Linked DNA regions of Nothobranchius furzeri. The protein of the gene in region 2 purifies or fractionates together with the protein of the main gene of each other region. This does not show direct contact. Links are inferred from orthologs where the notes say so. Each region holds a gene or a part of one and is shown on either strand. Other genes may lie near its edges.

Region 1 (8,098 bases), on a different chromosome or scaffold from region 2:
TAGCAAATCAATGTTGATAAATTTGCATATCATAAATATTAATGAGAAAGACTCATAGTTCTGTTATTTCCCTCCTGCGATAAACTTCAACCCACTCAAACAGAAGTGCCAAAGCTTTTTTTCACACAGAAAACAACTCTCAAGGCATTTATTCATATGAAATATAAAAAAACATGTAAATGATACCTATAATAGATTGTTTCTCTAACAAACACGCACACATGAAGCCTACGTCTCCCCCCTTTCTGGTCGACTCATCGGTTACGGAAAAAAAGGAAAAAGAATGCAAGTCAACGGGGCTAAAAGAGCCATCTTCTAATCTGCTTTGCCTTACGCCCCGGATCACACATATATATGTTGTACTGCAATTTAAATGAAGAGTAATGATGGGTGTTTCAACCATGTCAGTAAGGTACATTGAGATTTATCAGCTTGTAAACATTCATAATCAGCATGACTACATCGGCAGCACGTCGCATATGTGACGTCACCACATAGTCCCCCCCCAGTGTAGCTGCTACTTACCAAATGGCCAGATTTATGGCGGTTCTTTCCTCCCGTGGGAAGGATTTGAAGTTTGCTGAACCTACAGCCATTTTCCATCAGTATTCTCCATGTCTGGTTTGTGTGAGGCACATTTGTAGTCCTTGCCTTATTTTCACACAAAACCTAAAATACCCCCCCCCCCGGACAATAAGGGCGTTCTTGGTATTAAAAAGCTTCTTTAAAATTCACAGACATCATATGTGAAATCCATGGAACATAACAAGCTGAATTAGAAAATAGCGTTTTTGGCCCCGTTGACTTGCATTAATTATTAAATATTGAATTTCCACTAATAACATTTATATTTAGGTATGAATCAACAAGAATTCAACAGAATTAGCCCTGGTATGAACAACACTACAGATGAAATTCAAAGTCTGACACAGTTTAAGTTCCCCCTCATTATCTATAATAACCAACACATTTTGACCCAGTAGCCCTAAACGGCAATAGCTCAGTTTATAGATGACAGATGTAAACCTATATAAACTTCAACAGTTACGCACAAAACGGAAGTAAATCACTAACAGATGATAAAACAGGTGAATCGCCTAAAAAAATCACACATCTCCTCTTTGAGGCAAGAACATTTTACCCCAAACTGGAAGCGCTTCACACCGGAGGACATTCACTTCACATCAAGCAGAAGCCAGAAATGAAAATTTAATGAAGCAAAGTTTACCCAAACTGCTGCTCCAGTCTTAATTATGAACTTTTCAAACATGTGTTTATGTCTTGACTGCACTTCAGATCGCTGCTCTCTGATTTCTAATCAGCTGCAGATTGAGAAAACGTGCGTCAGCCAAACTGTAAGTACGTGGTTTTGGACAGATAAGACTTCATGGGTTTCTACAACTTCAAATACTTTTGACATTTAAGAAAAAAAAAACTTTGGTGGTTAAAATAAAAAGCCATCACCTACTCACTATTGTGCCTCATCAACCATCTTTACATTTCACTTTAACAATTTCCCTTTAATCTCCGCTAAATCAGGTGGATGAAAGTGACAAAAATGTCATATTCCCATTACTGCTTCCCTAATACATTCCACCGTTTCTTATTAAATCACCTCGGCGAGCGCCTTTCTTCTGATATGATTTTCTGACATTCCAGAGAAGAATTAGCTCCATTTACCGACTATCCTGAGGGGGGTTCTCATTTCTTGCATTCTAATTAGATTTTATTGACATTAACTTAATGAATTTAGTTAAAAAGCCAAAACACTCAAAACTGCTGTGAGCACACTGAGTTTAATTATGCAAGATTTAAAAAACAAGCACCAGAAAAACTGGAGGCAGCAATTTAACTTGATTTTCTACAGAAATGTAGTATTCTGGGACTATATCTATGTTATTTTAATGCCATAATTGCATGGTGCAATTTGTGTTTACAAAGCTTCAAATCATTTTGATTGGTGTTTTTTCCCCCAATTCTCAGTCTAAAGCTTGGGCGTGTCACTAACAGAGTGGATCTACGTATCAAGGCCAAAGTGATGGAATTAAAAACAAGCAACTCCATAATTTCAAGATTTTAGATTTGTATTGAGAAATTAACCCTACCCGAGTCCTGACTGGACTTGGATTCAGAAAGACTGACGGCAGAAGCATCACGGGATTGGTCGATCATTCCGATGTTCACCTTGTGCTTGTAGGGATCCAGAGCTCCAAGGAGACCAAGAACACGAATAGCCTGTTGTGGGGAAGATACAAATGTTTGTAGTTTAACTTTATTTCATCATATCTACATAGGGTTATTTGTAGAATTATAGTAACAAAAGATTAAAGTAGCTCTCCGGAGTTTTCCCCTTTCAGAAATTACGTATGATTTTTCAGAAATCCGTAAAAGTGATTATCTTAACATGTACTGTGAAATAATGTTAACAATACATCTTTTTTTTGTTTTTTGCTAAGCTCACCCCTGCCCCACAGACCTCTGTGCAATACGAAACTGAGCACCAACCAGAACTAACCAATATCGTTAGACTACTGCTTACCTGCTTCAAATTTAAGTAATACCTTGGCTGATGCAGAGTTGATGAACTATCATGGACAAGTAAGTTTTTAAAATATAAACATATGAAAACACAGCATGACATGAGAATAACACTTGTAAACAATGTGTTTTAGCTCTATTTGTTGGCTACAGACGCACATTAATAAGCAAGAAACATGAAGTCGCCATCTTAAAAAAAAACGGATCAAGAGACTATTTGTGTGATATGCTCGTCAGCCACTACATGGTGCCATCGAATAAGAGAGATACTCTGGAAAGAGCCTTTAAAGAAGTCCTAAAACAACTTTTTTTATTATTATTAATGGAAAGTGTTCTTCGAGCATCTATATTGTTAGGAGAATGAAACTTTGTTGAGGCTCAAAATGGCCCAGGAGCCCTGACAAATGGCCAAACACAACTCCATCATGAAGCCCTACAATGGAAAGACTGATTTGCCCTGCCCACTTAACCAGGACATGAATATTAAATGAACTGCATGCTGATTGGCCAGTTTATCCCAATGGCTACCTGAATCTAGAAACTCCATGTACAGCAGTGTACAGTATCCAGATACCTCAGCTATGGATCTGTCTGGAATTCAAAGTATGGAACGTTACACTTGTGTTCCGACAATCTTCACTGTTACTCTCATCCAACATGCACGTTACCAGTAGCATGGCTTGGGTTAGCAGTAGCTCGGGCTAGCGTTTTACAGTTAGCATTTCAACTACAAACATCAATACATCGTCAACACTGAACTGGGTTGACATGCAAATTTAAGGGGGGATTTCTAAGCCGGGGTGGGAAATTCCAGTCCTCGGAGGCCACAATCCAGCATGTTTCATTTGTTTCCCTTCTCCAACACACTTGTTCAGCAAGTCATTGAAGCAGAGAAACAACTAAAACATGAAGGATACCCTCAAGAATCAGATTTACCATCCCGGTCTACGCCGATGACGTGTTGTACCAGCTTTTCTCTAAACTAATCGTTGCTCTATAGCCAATACAACTTTACTCGTTTGCATAAGAAAGTAGGTCGAAGACGACAGACTTTTGGCACATGAGTCATCTCAAGCCATCTGTGTTCAAACAGAAAAATGTGGTTTTGAATTCTAGGACACCTTTAAACTAGAAAAGTCTGGATCACAACTTCAGACTCTTTGAACTATTCAAAATAAAGCTTCAAATATTCTTTAATCTGCAAATTTTCATGTTAATTCATTCATTTCATGCTACAGCCTCAACACACACCTCTCTCCTGATGCCCTGGTTTTGTTCAGTCTTGAGAAAATTGAGCAGCACTTCAAGCAGGGATGGGTATTTACGATAGGGCTCCACCACATAGCCAGTACTAGCCACCTGCTGGCCCAGAGTCCAAAGCGCCACCTGCAGGAGAGCCAAAAATAACCACCATAGAGGTATTACATTTAGGAAGCGGTTTCATACGAAGTAAATCAATTTATTCAATATGTGAAGTGCTACAGAACAATTTTATTTTATGGTATTATTCAGACCTAATAAATATTCTTCTGACTAATAATTCCACCTTTCATACCTGGCGTTTAGCCAAAGAGGACGAGTCCTGCAGCATGTCCATGATGATAGGAAAAAGCTCATCCATCCACTTCCTCATCTCTAGGCCACTCACCTGACAGGTTAAAACACACCCAGAAAAAATATACTGACAAAAATCCAAAAAGTCATCAAATGTGTATCATTCAAATCAGCAAATTTTATTACTGTAAAATAAGGTAAAAGTTATAGAGAACTGCATTTATACATCAATACTTGGAATGCACCAGAGTGAACACAGATAATATCACTGGCCAATAACCGATATTTGCCGATATCAAGATGTGTCCAATACCAATATGTTATTACACACACACACACACACACACACACACACACACACACACACACACACACACACACACACACACACACACACACACACACACACACACACACATTTACGCTCCTGAGACGATTAGCACAGGACTAAACAATTACACATCATCACCCCCTCACCCTCTGAAACTGATACACAGATGGAAACGAGATGATATGTTAAAAATGACTAACACTGGCCGCTAACAATATTGATGCCGATATTTCGTGCATCCCTAATCAATACACAACAAAACATGACTGCTGAATGAAATTATCATCCAGGTTTGTTATTTTAGCTGCAAAAACTGCACATTAGAACAAATACGCCACACATAAGAGCACCATTTAGATCAAATATCCCAGACGAGAGAATGAACAGGTTTACCTGAGCCAACTCTCCGATCGTTGCAAGGACACTGATCACCACTCCAGGGTTGGGATCTGGATCTTTAAGCTTGAGAATCAGAGCCTGCAAACAGAAAAACAAATTATTTATTTTCCTGGTTAAAAATAGAAAATTGCTTGAACAGAAATGGGAGTTACTTTAAAATGAAATCTAGAGGTTTTAAAAGCTTTTCTCAGTACAAACGTGTGATTTAGTCATATAGGTATATGGAAAAGTCGCAGAATTTTACCTTGAGAATGGGTTCCATATATGGACGTATGAGTCGGGGGGCGTTGGAGACTAAGTGACCAAGCATACGTGCACTCTGCTCTTTGTTCCTCCCAACACCGCTGTGCTCCAGCTCGGTTAAAATCTGAAAATAAAACACAATATTCATGGAACACTCGATTTCCCTTTAATGCAAAGACTGGCACACATTATGACATTTGTTACTAAAGATGAAGAAACATCTTTCTTGATCCGGGCTTTGCTGCCCTCAGCTGGTACCCAACTTAAACAGCAGGCCGGATTTCACAGAACCAGCACCTTCCTTCTACTGGGCTAAAAATGTCTAGCAGCTTGAAGTTGTGTTGTGTCCTCTCCTACCTGGATTAGCATCTTGCGAAGGAAGGGCATAACAAAAGCAGGATTCATGCTGCTGAGGCGTCCAATTGTGCAGATAGCCAGCTCTCGTATCTCAAACACTTCATCGTTCAGGGCAACAAACAGGGCCTGTAAATTCTCCGCCTGGGCGAGGTGTGCGTCAAAACGCTCATCGAGGGAAGCAAGTACACAGTATCGGATATCTGGATCTGTGGGGAAACAAAAATGAGAAACTGTGAGATCACAGCTGCAAGGTGGCACAGTTGGCAGCACTATTGCTGCACAGCAAGAAAGTAGCATGTCCAACTCGCAGCAGTTGCATGAGTGGGTTGTCTTCAAGTACTCCTGTGCCCTCCTGTCCCAAAGGCCAAAATCATGCATGTCGGGCTAGCTGGAGACTTGACTTGATGGCTGCTGGAGATAGACACCAGCTCCCCACGACCCCACTGAGTCATACCATATCATATCATATAGTATCAACTTTATTTCTATGGCACAATTTAAAATACAGCGTGAGAGCTGACCAAAGTGCTGAACAGGCAGGGTCAATTAAAACAGAGAAAGACAAAAGCAATAAGGAGCTAAACAAGGCGTCACTAGCAGGTAAAATCAATAAGAACAGTAAATAAAACACAACACTAAAAACAATAAAACGATAAAATGAGACACTGTCTAAAAGCCAAGTCATAAAAGTGGGTCTTTAAACAAGACTTAAAAACAGGCAAAGACAGGCATTCAGCCCGAGTCATGAAGGCGAGTGAGTCTGAGATCAGTACGATCCCAAAATCTTGACAACTTTACCTGGATCGGTGATGCCCACGACCAACAGCTTGCTGAGCACATCTGCAACAACCTGAACAGCGGTTTGACTGACCACATGGCCACTGATCAGATGGATGGAGGGCGTGAGGAGACGTGAGCAGGTCCGGGCAGCTTCCATTCGGATCTCTTTGTGTTCACTGTTCAGGAAGTGATCGGCACAGTGGCGCACAAACTGGGTCAGGGAGTGTCCTGGCGAATAAAGTTTAAACGTTGTGTTAGCGAGGAAGAAAGCAACCGTCAGCGCTTTGCTGTGTGGTTCTCTGAGCCCAGTTCCACCACCAAACTGGCACGGAACAGGGAGGGTTGGTTTGCTAGTTTCACTGTCCCGATGACCCAGACCACGCCAGTCACAGGACATTTGCCTCCTTCTGCTGTAGGCACAGAATTTTGTACAGCTAATGTGGAGCAACAATACAGTCCACTGATTGGAGAGCAAAAATGTGTCACTACTTGCAACAAGCAAAACAAACCTCAGAGTTTCGTTATTTGTATTTTCATTAGTTGTACACGAATGTGAGAAATTCCAGCAAGCGGCTTGAGAGCTCCATACATTCCTCTCCATCATCGTGAGAGTCTACGCTATGGAAGAGCTAGGTGGATCGGTAAGGATTGCAGGTTTCTCAGCGGATGGCAGCCGAAGGATTTGCGTGAATGTCGGAACGGTGTCGGGCCAAGCTGAAGAAATTAAAGCTTAATGTAGAAAAGTTAGGAACAGAAACAGCCGGAGTGGAAATGGGAGAAATACACAGAGATTAGGGCTGGGCAATAAATCGAAAATTCATCGTTATCGAAATTTCTGACTTTTATCGAGATTAATTTTCCCATGTCAATAAATTTGATAGTGAAAAAAATGAAAAGCTGTGTAGGTTGGCAACGTTCATGTCCCTTTAAGAAGCTGTACCACATTGAGTCACGTACAAATGTGGCTGAACGTAATACACGTGACAGCCCCATCTAGTGGATAACTTTAGTTTCTGCGCATACCTGTAGTAATTGTCCATTTATCGTTATCGAGGGGAAATCCTCAATATATCGTGTTATTGATTTCAGGACATTTCGCTCAGCCCAACAGAGACGCTACGACGCGCTGGATGCCACAGACCGGCAAACCGAGGCAGCGAGGCAGGCTGGGACTCAGCGACCGCACTTGGGGAGCCCGTTGGTAAGCATTTGATTTTTTGACTTTAGCTCTGCAGAACATTTATTGCAGCACAAAAATACTGAATAGTTTCAAAAGTTATTTATGAAATCGCGCATGAGGGTTGATTTAACCCTGCCTGCCAACATGAGAGCCCAAACTGTGATAGAAATGCTCTCCTGAAATTGCAGACCCATACTGGTCCACAATGACCCGCCTCGCCCAGTCCCAAACCCAGAAGTGGATCTGAGGCTTCTGTAGCAGAAATTTTATAAAAAAACTGGAGCCTATGAGAGCTTAGCAGAGTGTGTTTAAAGGTGCTTACCTTCAAATTCAAAGCTTCCTAGCGTGCGCAGGGCCAGGGTGATGCTGCCAACATCACTGGCCTCTGGAATGTTTGTGAGGCTCGGCGAGGCGAGCTGGTGAGCCAGGCCTTTGGGCATTCCTGGGTGTCTCAGTGGCTTGTGCATTAATACCAAAGAAAGCATCTTCAGCAATCCATCCTGGATATCTTTTTTCAGCTGGGGGATTTGACGGCTCAGGTCGTAAAGCACTGCAGTTAGAGCAGGACTAGACCAAGACGTGAAAAAAGATACGTGAGAACACCACATCACCTTTGAAAAGTCAAAATCTGTCAGCCTGTCCTACCTAAGGCCCACTGCCAGCATTGGTTCCAGGAGCTCCTTGATGTCGGGCTGGATGCTGGGGCCCATGGCTCT
Region 2 (8,777 bases):
AAAACGTTGCGCGCTAGGATGATGTCAACGCCAACACTACCAAAACAAAGAAGCGACCCACCTCTTACATCAGTAAGAGGTGGCGTTTCGAGTGTTATCCGTTCTTTTAAAATCCGTTGTTGAATTGTGATCAGCAGAAGCTTTTCAGCTTCGCGCCTCACTTTGTTACAGCAGCGGCCCAAAACGATCTCCTAACACATGCTTCCTGATCACGTGATGTGTGACGTATGTGGATGAAGATCAGTTTTAGAGCTGGGATGTTTGTTCTCATGGTGCGGGGGCTCGTTCCGATGCCCACACAGTAAAAAAAATGCAAATGACGACTTAAGTCGTCAATGGCAGTGAATGAGTTAAATTGGAATTTGTTTTTTTGCTTTCCCTCATTTTTTTTAGGAAATTTGCCAACATATTTATGTAATTTTATTTCTATTTTAGTTACATTTTTGTAAATTTGTTTCCATTAATCAGTCGGCTAATCTGTAATAGATATCATGATTTTTCATGTTAATAGAAGTTTAATGTCATCGAACCCATCTCCAAATACAATGAGGTGTAGTTTCAGTACAACCATTTTCGAGGTAAGGAAACAGGGGTCACACAAGAGTGGGGAGGGACAAGGAGAAGAAAACATGGTCCCTACTCTGTTCCCTGCAGGATCCAGAAATGGCTTGCAGGAAAAAACACACCAAAACTCTAAAGCACAAACTCGGACAGTAACAACATGTCCGCTGGGTGGGGGGAGGGGCTGGGATCCCCCAAACAGACGAGAGCATGCAGCATCCGCACTTCAATCCCCAATGCTCAGAGGTGTGGAGAAGATTCGAGGAATGGAGAGTGCATCGAGTCCCTGAAGAGTCTGTGGTCTCACCCAGATCACCCAGAGGCCAACCGAGCGCGTCACAGTTTCAACCAGGATTGGGGGAGGGATTTCAAAGCATTTGTCAGCATTCCTTCTGTGGGAATTTTGGACTCTTCAGCCTCTATTCTATTCTATTCTATTCTATAAATAATCTTGCTTTTAGTATCACAATTATTAAAGTTTTATATAATTATTGTATAATTTATAATTATTATATATCGTATCATTGAATCGCCAGATGTTTGCCAGTACACACCCCTACCATTCTAGATCACTCAAACACAGAGGTCTAGTGGTTCCATCATCTTTAGCTTTAATAACGATGCTGCTCAAGCTTCAGATAATCACTGTGAACATGTCTCACTTTGAAATGGACAAAACCTGATATACAGGAGGATACTGGATATGGCAAACATGCTAGAAGTCATCAGAGTGACCTCAGAACAGTTGGAGAGAGCTGAAAATCAGTGAGTACAGTAGTTTACAATGTAGTGGACAGCAGACGCACAAAAGCTCTACATCACTTCCACAATATTACCAGTGGGAGGCATAGTGGTGGTAAATCATTACAAGAATAAAATATTCCAACGGCTGAGTATTTTCCAGCATCTTAAAAGTGAGCTTTCTAACATTTTTCTATTATTCTTCCCAAATCTGAACACAAAGTTAGTCGGAACATTCGTGGCTTCAGTTCAACATAAGAGCCATTAACTGATGGTTCTATTTTGAGCCGGTGTCCTGTGATGCATCAAGGGAAGAGCTGAAATTGCTTCACAGAGGGACAATATTTTTCCACATTTACCCACACCAAAACATTATTTTTGTGTGCAGCAGAAGTAAAATGAGGGAATTCGTCTGTGACCAATACTCCTCCTCTAGAACTGTCACTCATTATCCATTTTCCTTTGGATTGTTGCCATGCAACAGCTCAATAATGCAACATTTTCCTCTGTGGATTGTAATCATTACTCAGGAGGGTTTTCGAACCAGAAAGGCAAACTGCCAGAAGAGACTCTGAAGAGTCTAAATTCTATTCAGCGCCAGCCGAAACAGTCGTGCACAAAATGCAACAAAGCAAGAGGAAGTCTGGAGGCTGTGAGACGGAAGCCAGTCAGACTCTCATTTATACACCAGCACATGCACACGAGGACTCGGCACTCACAAAATGTTTGTTTTCATTTGCTCCATCGGATAAAGCTTTTTCTGTAGTTGAGGCGGAGCGGACAACCACAAGCAGTGTGAAGGCATCATTTAAAGGGAAGTTCAAACTGAGAGCATGTTGTCGAGGCAGCTAGACTGTTACTAAATCACCTGGCTCCATTAAAGAATCAATTACAGCTCTTCCCTCCTGTGTGTGCAGTTATTTACCTGAAAAATCTTTAGACAGCCAAACAAAGCGGAACACTGTACTTTAAGGCCAGTGCTTTCTGCGATATGCTATCATGCACCGCGTGGCTCTTGTGTTGCACATAAATAACAATTCTGCCGCGCTGAGGCAGCCGTGCGACTGGGAGCGGCACGCTGTTACCTTTGGTCGAGGCGGACAGCCGGTGGCCAGGCGCTGCAGCTGCTCTGAAGTGTGGCTGCAGGAGAGGAGATCTGAGCAGCAAGCTGTGCGGCCCAGTCTCTTCATCAGGGAGGAGATGATGCTGCAGCCACAGCCACACATCGACTTGCTCATTAGGAACCTGGCTGTTCTGAGGTAAGAAGATGTGTGGAGAAAACGACGCAGCTACTTCCTGGTCCTCAGAGCTGGGCTGTAATCCACATGGTGCCGATCCACAGGTATTCCGTCACAGACTGGGCTCAGGTTTGTGCTACAGAGAGCACACATGCAGATGCTCACCTTGGTGGAGGTGCTTGAGTTCAGAACTATAATTTGTCAGTCCATTTCCCCTCATGATCACTTTCTCTACTCCTTTTACCACACGACTGTCTTAAAGCAGTGCCTTCTGCTGTAACACCCCCACTGCTGCCAAACTCACTTCCGTCCACTAAACACCTTCCTTTGATTGCTACACAGAACACAGCGTCTGCCACCACTCGCTCCCTGTCTCACACCATCTCCATCTGTCTCCTCCTGCTCCCTCCGCTGCCTCTGACTGTTGTGCTCTGAGGAAGCTATCCCTGTGAGTGCTGCTGCCACCACTGTACCCCCCACCACCACCAGAGGTAAACCACTCAGCCTGAACTCCTCCAAGTTGCAGATAAAAGTGCTTTTTCCTGTGTGAAATCTGAGCTCCTGGTTGCTCAGTTAATTGAGGAAGCCGTGGACAGATTATTACAAGAAATTCAAGCCACTCTGTGCACACTAGAAGGACTGATAAGTAGTGAGGATCCAGTATGGGGGAGGGGTTCTGGGTAAGCATTCAGGAGACGGGAGTATTATGGTAATAATCTGTCACAGGGGTCTGAATGCACTGCTGATTACTGCAATGATGTTTTAACTGAAAAGATGCTTTGAAAAGGAGAAAATCTTCAGAAGGTGACAGTTTTTCCAACTGATTAAGACAAACTAAAAAGCCAATCAGAAAAACTGCAATTAGATGTCAATGCAGTGATTTAGCATCAGCGACATTAGATCAGACATGTATAGTTTCTGTTAGCAAATTCAAATAAGGAATATTTCTTTTATCCTATCTGAGTAACCCCGAGCATTCTTGGTCATCTCTCCACGGATGTTCAGACTGGAGAAGGAAAAATGAACATTACTCAGCACAAAAGCTAATGGTTACCACAGCTGATGAAGTCAGGAAGCTTTAAGAAGAGAAGGCAAGTAGGAGGAGCAGCAGTGGTGGGAAGAGAAAGATGGAAGGATGATAGACTGAGAAAGAGTCTACTGTAAAACTAACAGCAACCGCTGGCTATTAATAGCAAACCCAACATTGCTGAATGACTAAACCAAAATCAACGCCTGTCATCATGTCTAATCCAAGGAGACAGAAAAAGGAGAAAATGGAAATGAATAGACTGGATGAAGTGGTCAAGTTACATGACGTCAAGCTCTGACTCATGAACTACCAATCTGAAGCTCGGAGTTTGGCAAAAAGCCTTCAACATCGTTGGTCTGCAGAAAACCAGACGTAACCATATTTGTGCATAAGGATCTGGCTGAGTGATGTCAGAAAACCAGCTGGACAGAAATAAAACACCAGAAAAGATCTAATGTCTATTTAACTAGGAAACTATTCAAAAGACACCTCAGTGCTTTGACCTGAGTAGGTGAGTTTCTATAATAACACCAATCTAATGCTCATTCACCAGGCATCCAATCAAATCAGCAGCCCTTCTTAAATCAGTCTTTTGAGGGTGCATTTCTTGTTGGTGCTTAAAGGGGTCATATAATGGAAAATCCATTTGTTGGAGCTTTTTAGTATGTAACACTGTTGCTTTCTCATGAAAAATATCCCCAAACCCATTGTTGGCAGGGTTGCCTGCATTCATGCCTTTTTCTGTTTCAGCTGCAAATTTTGAATTTTATAGTGAAATTCGTGAAATGGCCACATGTATAAGTTGTACGTCACTCCTTCTTCCTGCTCCAAACATCAGGACCTGCTCCTCCCTCAGAAGCCAGTCTCCGGTCTGAAACCGGTCTCCCTTGGCCAGCTTAGGCAACAAGTGTTATGCAACAGACTTGGTAGTCTAGTGCCAAGTGTGCTGGGCTGGGCTGGGCTGGGCTGTGCTGGGCTGTGCTGTGCTGGGCTGGGCTGGGCTGGGCTGGGCTGGGCTGTGCTGTGCTGTGCTGGGCTGTGCTGTGCTGTGCTGGGCTGGGCTGGGCTGGGCTGGGCTGGGCTGTGCTGGGCTGGGCTGGGCTGTGCTGTGCTGGGCTGGGCTGGGCTGTGCTGTGCTGGGCTGGGCTGGGCTGGGCTGGGCTGTGCTGGGCTGGGCTGGGCTGGGCTGGGCTGGGATGTAGTTTTGTGCAGGTTCACGTCCCAGTATCAACACTTGCCAGTATGATGTTTTCAACCCTTTATTGGTAAACTGTTGAAAATATAAGGACTAATATGTGTTCTTTGCTTTCTTTATTTAGCCAGTGTGAGTCCATGTGAGGTGAGCAGAGTAAATCAATTAAAATGCTGCTTGGACCAAATTCTAACGTCTTTAAGAGACGCTAAATATTTTGCTAAAAATAATCAATAATGCTAAAACATAAAAAGATGAAATCTGCTTCAGCTGGCTACATAAATTACTGCCGACCCCATAGCCAACACAGTAACCAGCTTGCCTAAGATGCTGTTGTAGGCATGCGTTATCTGAGGGGGTGTAGGTGGAGCTTCACTGAAGCCAAGTGTGAAACCTGAACATAAAGTCGGCTCATTTCATTTGAGCCTCGCAGCATCTGAGTCGTTTCAACATCTCACCAATCTGTCATTTTAATGGCAAATAAATACAATGGGGAAATTAAAATCCACATTTCTTTTTAAATAGAATTCCCCTTCTCCGTTCCACCTGATAAACTTGGGATTTGTTTCATATTTTGAGAAAGATACACGTGAACATTTATTCGCCTAACAGACCCTGAACGATAGATCAGAATATTTGAAAGCAACAGACTGTTTCACTTGCACTTTATCATTTATTGCCATGCACTGATGAGAACAATAGCTGCAGACTTCCGCACAACTATTTACCTTTGAATCACAGATCTTTGTTGTGTGTGTTGGGTTTATGAAAGCTCAAAGACCTTCATCCAGACTCCTACCTCTCATCACTCCTTTATCTGTCTGCTAACTCGGTTTGTGTACAGCCTACGTTCACATCTGTCACTTTAGAAAACTTCTGGTTGTTTATTTTAAATACAGACTGAGCAGGTTAAACTCTAAATGTATGGAAAGAAAAAGCTGTGAGTACAACAAACCCAACAGCTCTGGACTTGCTCAAGTCACCTCACAAAGACAATAATAAACTGACAATATTCTCTATTCAATAGATGAAAACCTTCAGAGACTAACAGCCAGTTTCACCCAGCACATAGGTTGTGAAAAGCATAATTGCTGCTGTTTGCTGACATCTTTGTGCTGCTGATGGAAGTGATGCTTCAGGAAGCCGCTCGCTGTGATTCTGTGCCTGAAATCGACTGAAACGTTGGGATGTCATCTCCCGGAACACGTTCCACATGAGCAGAGAAATGAAAACAACAAAACAGAGACATACTCCTAAAACTGAAAATAACATATAAATATGTCTTACAGTATAAAGTAAATGGCTTGGTAGCATCTGCTTCCCATCTCTTACACCAAGCAACAGTTTAAAGAGCAGCGGACGACTGGATGTTTCTTCTGTGCTTGTTTACAGGTTTGTTCTTTTCTTGCCCAGGACTTAAAGACAAAGCAGGGTGAAACAGCGCCCTATTAATTATGTATGAATATCGCTTTTCACTGTGTCAGCTCACTGCTTCAGTATTGATCCATAAAGCAGAGACTCGCTGCACCGCGGCACCGGGTCTCACAGGAAGACCCGGCTGCAGCTGGAGGGGGCAGTGACACCTCGGCAAACAGGTAGACTGAAAATCAATGCTATTACTATTTTCATTATCATCATCATCATCATCATCATCATCATAAAAACGTTACCTGTTTTTGTGTGGATTTTTTATTTACTCGAAATTAAAGGTTTTATTGTTTTTTTCCCCCCTGGTAACAAACTCAGGATGTAAAATCTGAGGGGAGGGGTCGTTTATCCTTACATAAAATATGCCCACGGGGTAATTCATCTGCACAAAAGCAAAACCATCTCTTAAAACCAATAAGTGCATCAAATGGTTTTAAATCCAGTCATTAATGAGGATTAAAATCCAAACAATGAAAAGCTGAAGAACAAAATACTCAAGTCAAATTTGCTCTTTGTTTATGTTGATTATTTGTCCTGCTACTGTTCAAACGTGTTTAGTCAAGACAAAGTGTCAACAAAATAAATAATACTTTAAAAAACACCACACACACACGAGCTGTGGACAGATGTTTCTCTGAGAAGGCTGCACTCTAGTGGGCAAAGGCTGCAAACTCCAGCAAGGCAACCAGAAGCTGAAAACATCATGTTTACATAAAACACAAGCAGCAAATATACATAACATGATATTAAATTGGATACATTTAGAAAAGAATGTGATTATAATGTGAAAATAAAAAATATATATTAAATACATATTTATGGTGAAATACAACTAAACGATTTACATAATTTCTCAAATATGCTTTAAAAAATACTAGTAGAGCTACGAGAGTCTATCTGACAAAGGTGCTGTCAAAAATGAGCTTTGATTGGATTATCTCTAAAGCAGGAACGACATTATGTCATGTTAAGGTTGCATCTTGGCTGTTCTTCAGTTAAGAAACAGATTTTAATGGAAACAAGGCTGATAAATTTTGTGACATGTTTTTTTTTACATCTGAATTCCATAAAGAGTTGGAAAAGCTTTGAGGTAAGGACACGAGACTCGGATCATTATGCAGAAGGCCGGGATTCCTCAGGTAGGGTTTCAGGTTGTTTGCAACACATGAAAGATGTTTAATGACAATGTTTCAGTAGCTATGATGTTTGTCTTGCTGATTGGGTGTACGTACAATTTCTCCAATAAGTAAAATATGATGTAAACCCTCTGAGAGTCGCTAACCATAAATAATGATTACCTTCTCTGATTCTTCATCTTAACCCTTATTCAGGCTTTAGGCTGAGAACATGATGGGTATATAGAACAATTTAAAGCTATTGGACATGTTATAACAGTTTCCCATCCTGTCTCCATCCAGCATCAATTCTGTGAAACCTGCTGTTCTGAATTATTTACAGGGAACGCGTGGGTGAGAGGTGGGGGAGTGATCAGGGAGAGACAGAGAATAACTAAATCTCTGTCATTTTCAACACTCTGCTTAGAAAGCAGTTTCTAATTTAATCTTACAGCACTTTTCAGAAAGTGACAGCAATGCAGATCCTCTATTAGTGTGATACAATAAAGAAAAATGCTATTTTTGCTTGAAAACCTTTTCTAAGAACTTAAAGAAGAAGAATCTTGAGTCGACAATAAGGAAACAGTTCTACAAAAGACTGGGTCATTTGTTCTTATAATGAAACCAATTGAAATAGAACAATAAAGAATCATTTACTAAAGTCAGATTATAGCAGCCACTGTCATTAACCTGCAGCTTTGAATCCTAAACAGTAAAACAGTTCTGTCAGTCATCGTCATATCAGACGTTCGTCTCCAGAACAAAAAGAGATGCATCTAAGTTGCACTTAGATGAAAACAAACTCCCCCAAACCATCATCCTGAATTATTCAAACTCCCTATCAAATGTCCCCTTTCCGGACCCTGAGACCGAGTTAGAGATTTAAAGGAAAAAAACAAGGTTAACATTTAGACATTTGAGTGCCCATTCACATGTTTAAAAATGCAGCAGCAAGCCAGAGAAGGTAGGGCGGTGTGCTATTACTTTACCTTTAATTCACCAACGCGTGCCTCGAATTAATTATTCACAACTTACACCACACACTTAGGCTTTAAGGACCCCCCCCCAAACACACACACACACACACACACACACACACACACACACACACAGCTCTGAACACCAAGTATACAGGAAACACCTGAAGTGCATGCAGCATGAATCACTTACGTGTGCTGAATATGTATATGTGGCTTTCATCTAATGTGATTCATAAAAGAAATTTGAGAAGTTTGCAAATAAAATATCAGACCTAAAAATATGCAAAAACAGTAGAATATTAGAATCCAGAAAACCAGAAAAAGGAAGACTGTTGTGTTGTCTATTGATGTCTATTGTCTTTGAGGCTTGCCGTAGTTGTAGGACATGGATGGGGATTGGAGGATGGACATCCATCCATCCATTTTCATCCGCTTATCCGGAGTCGGGTCGCGGGGGCAGTAGCCTAAGTCGAGAGGCCCAGACTTCCCTCT

The links. The genes of interacting proteins can lie anywhere in the genome.
Region 1: the proteins of fbxw7 (region 2) and mtor purify together in Homo sapiens (affinity purification with western blotting; 9 studies listed by BioGRID and IntAct, with this or other methods). This does not show direct contact. The link is inferred for Nothobranchius furzeri from reciprocal best matches to the Homo sapiens genes FBXW7 and MTOR.

The regions. Positions count from the first base shown.
Region 1 is NC_091755.1:52,496,206-52,504,303, forward strand, and holds part of mtor (serine/threonine-protein kinase mTOR), read right to left. Parts: coding exon 8,028-8,098; intron 7,950-8,027; coding exon 7,705-7,949; intron 6,431-7,704; coding exon 6,221-6,430; intron 5,629-6,220; coding exon 5,423-5,628; intron 5,190-5,422; coding exon 5,067-5,189; intron 4,901-5,066; coding exon 4,817-4,900; intron 4,187-4,816; coding exon 4,094-4,186; intron 3,925-4,093; coding exon 3,790-3,924; intron 2,236-3,789; coding exon 2,106-2,235; intron 1-2,105. UniProt on the Homo sapiens protein: Serine/threonine protein kinase which is a central regulator of cellular metabolism, growth and survival in response to hormones, growth factors, nutrients, energy and stress signals.
Region 2 is NC_091747.1:80,825,291-80,834,067, forward strand, and holds the start of fbxw7 (F-box/WD repeat-containing protein 7), read right to left. Parts: upstream 4,552-8,777; 5' UTR 2,541-4,551; coding exon 2,388-2,540; intron 1-2,387. UniProt on the Homo sapiens protein: Substrate recognition component of a SCF (SKP1-CUL1-F-box protein) E3 ubiquitin-protein ligase complex which mediates the ubiquitination and subsequent proteasomal degradation of target proteins.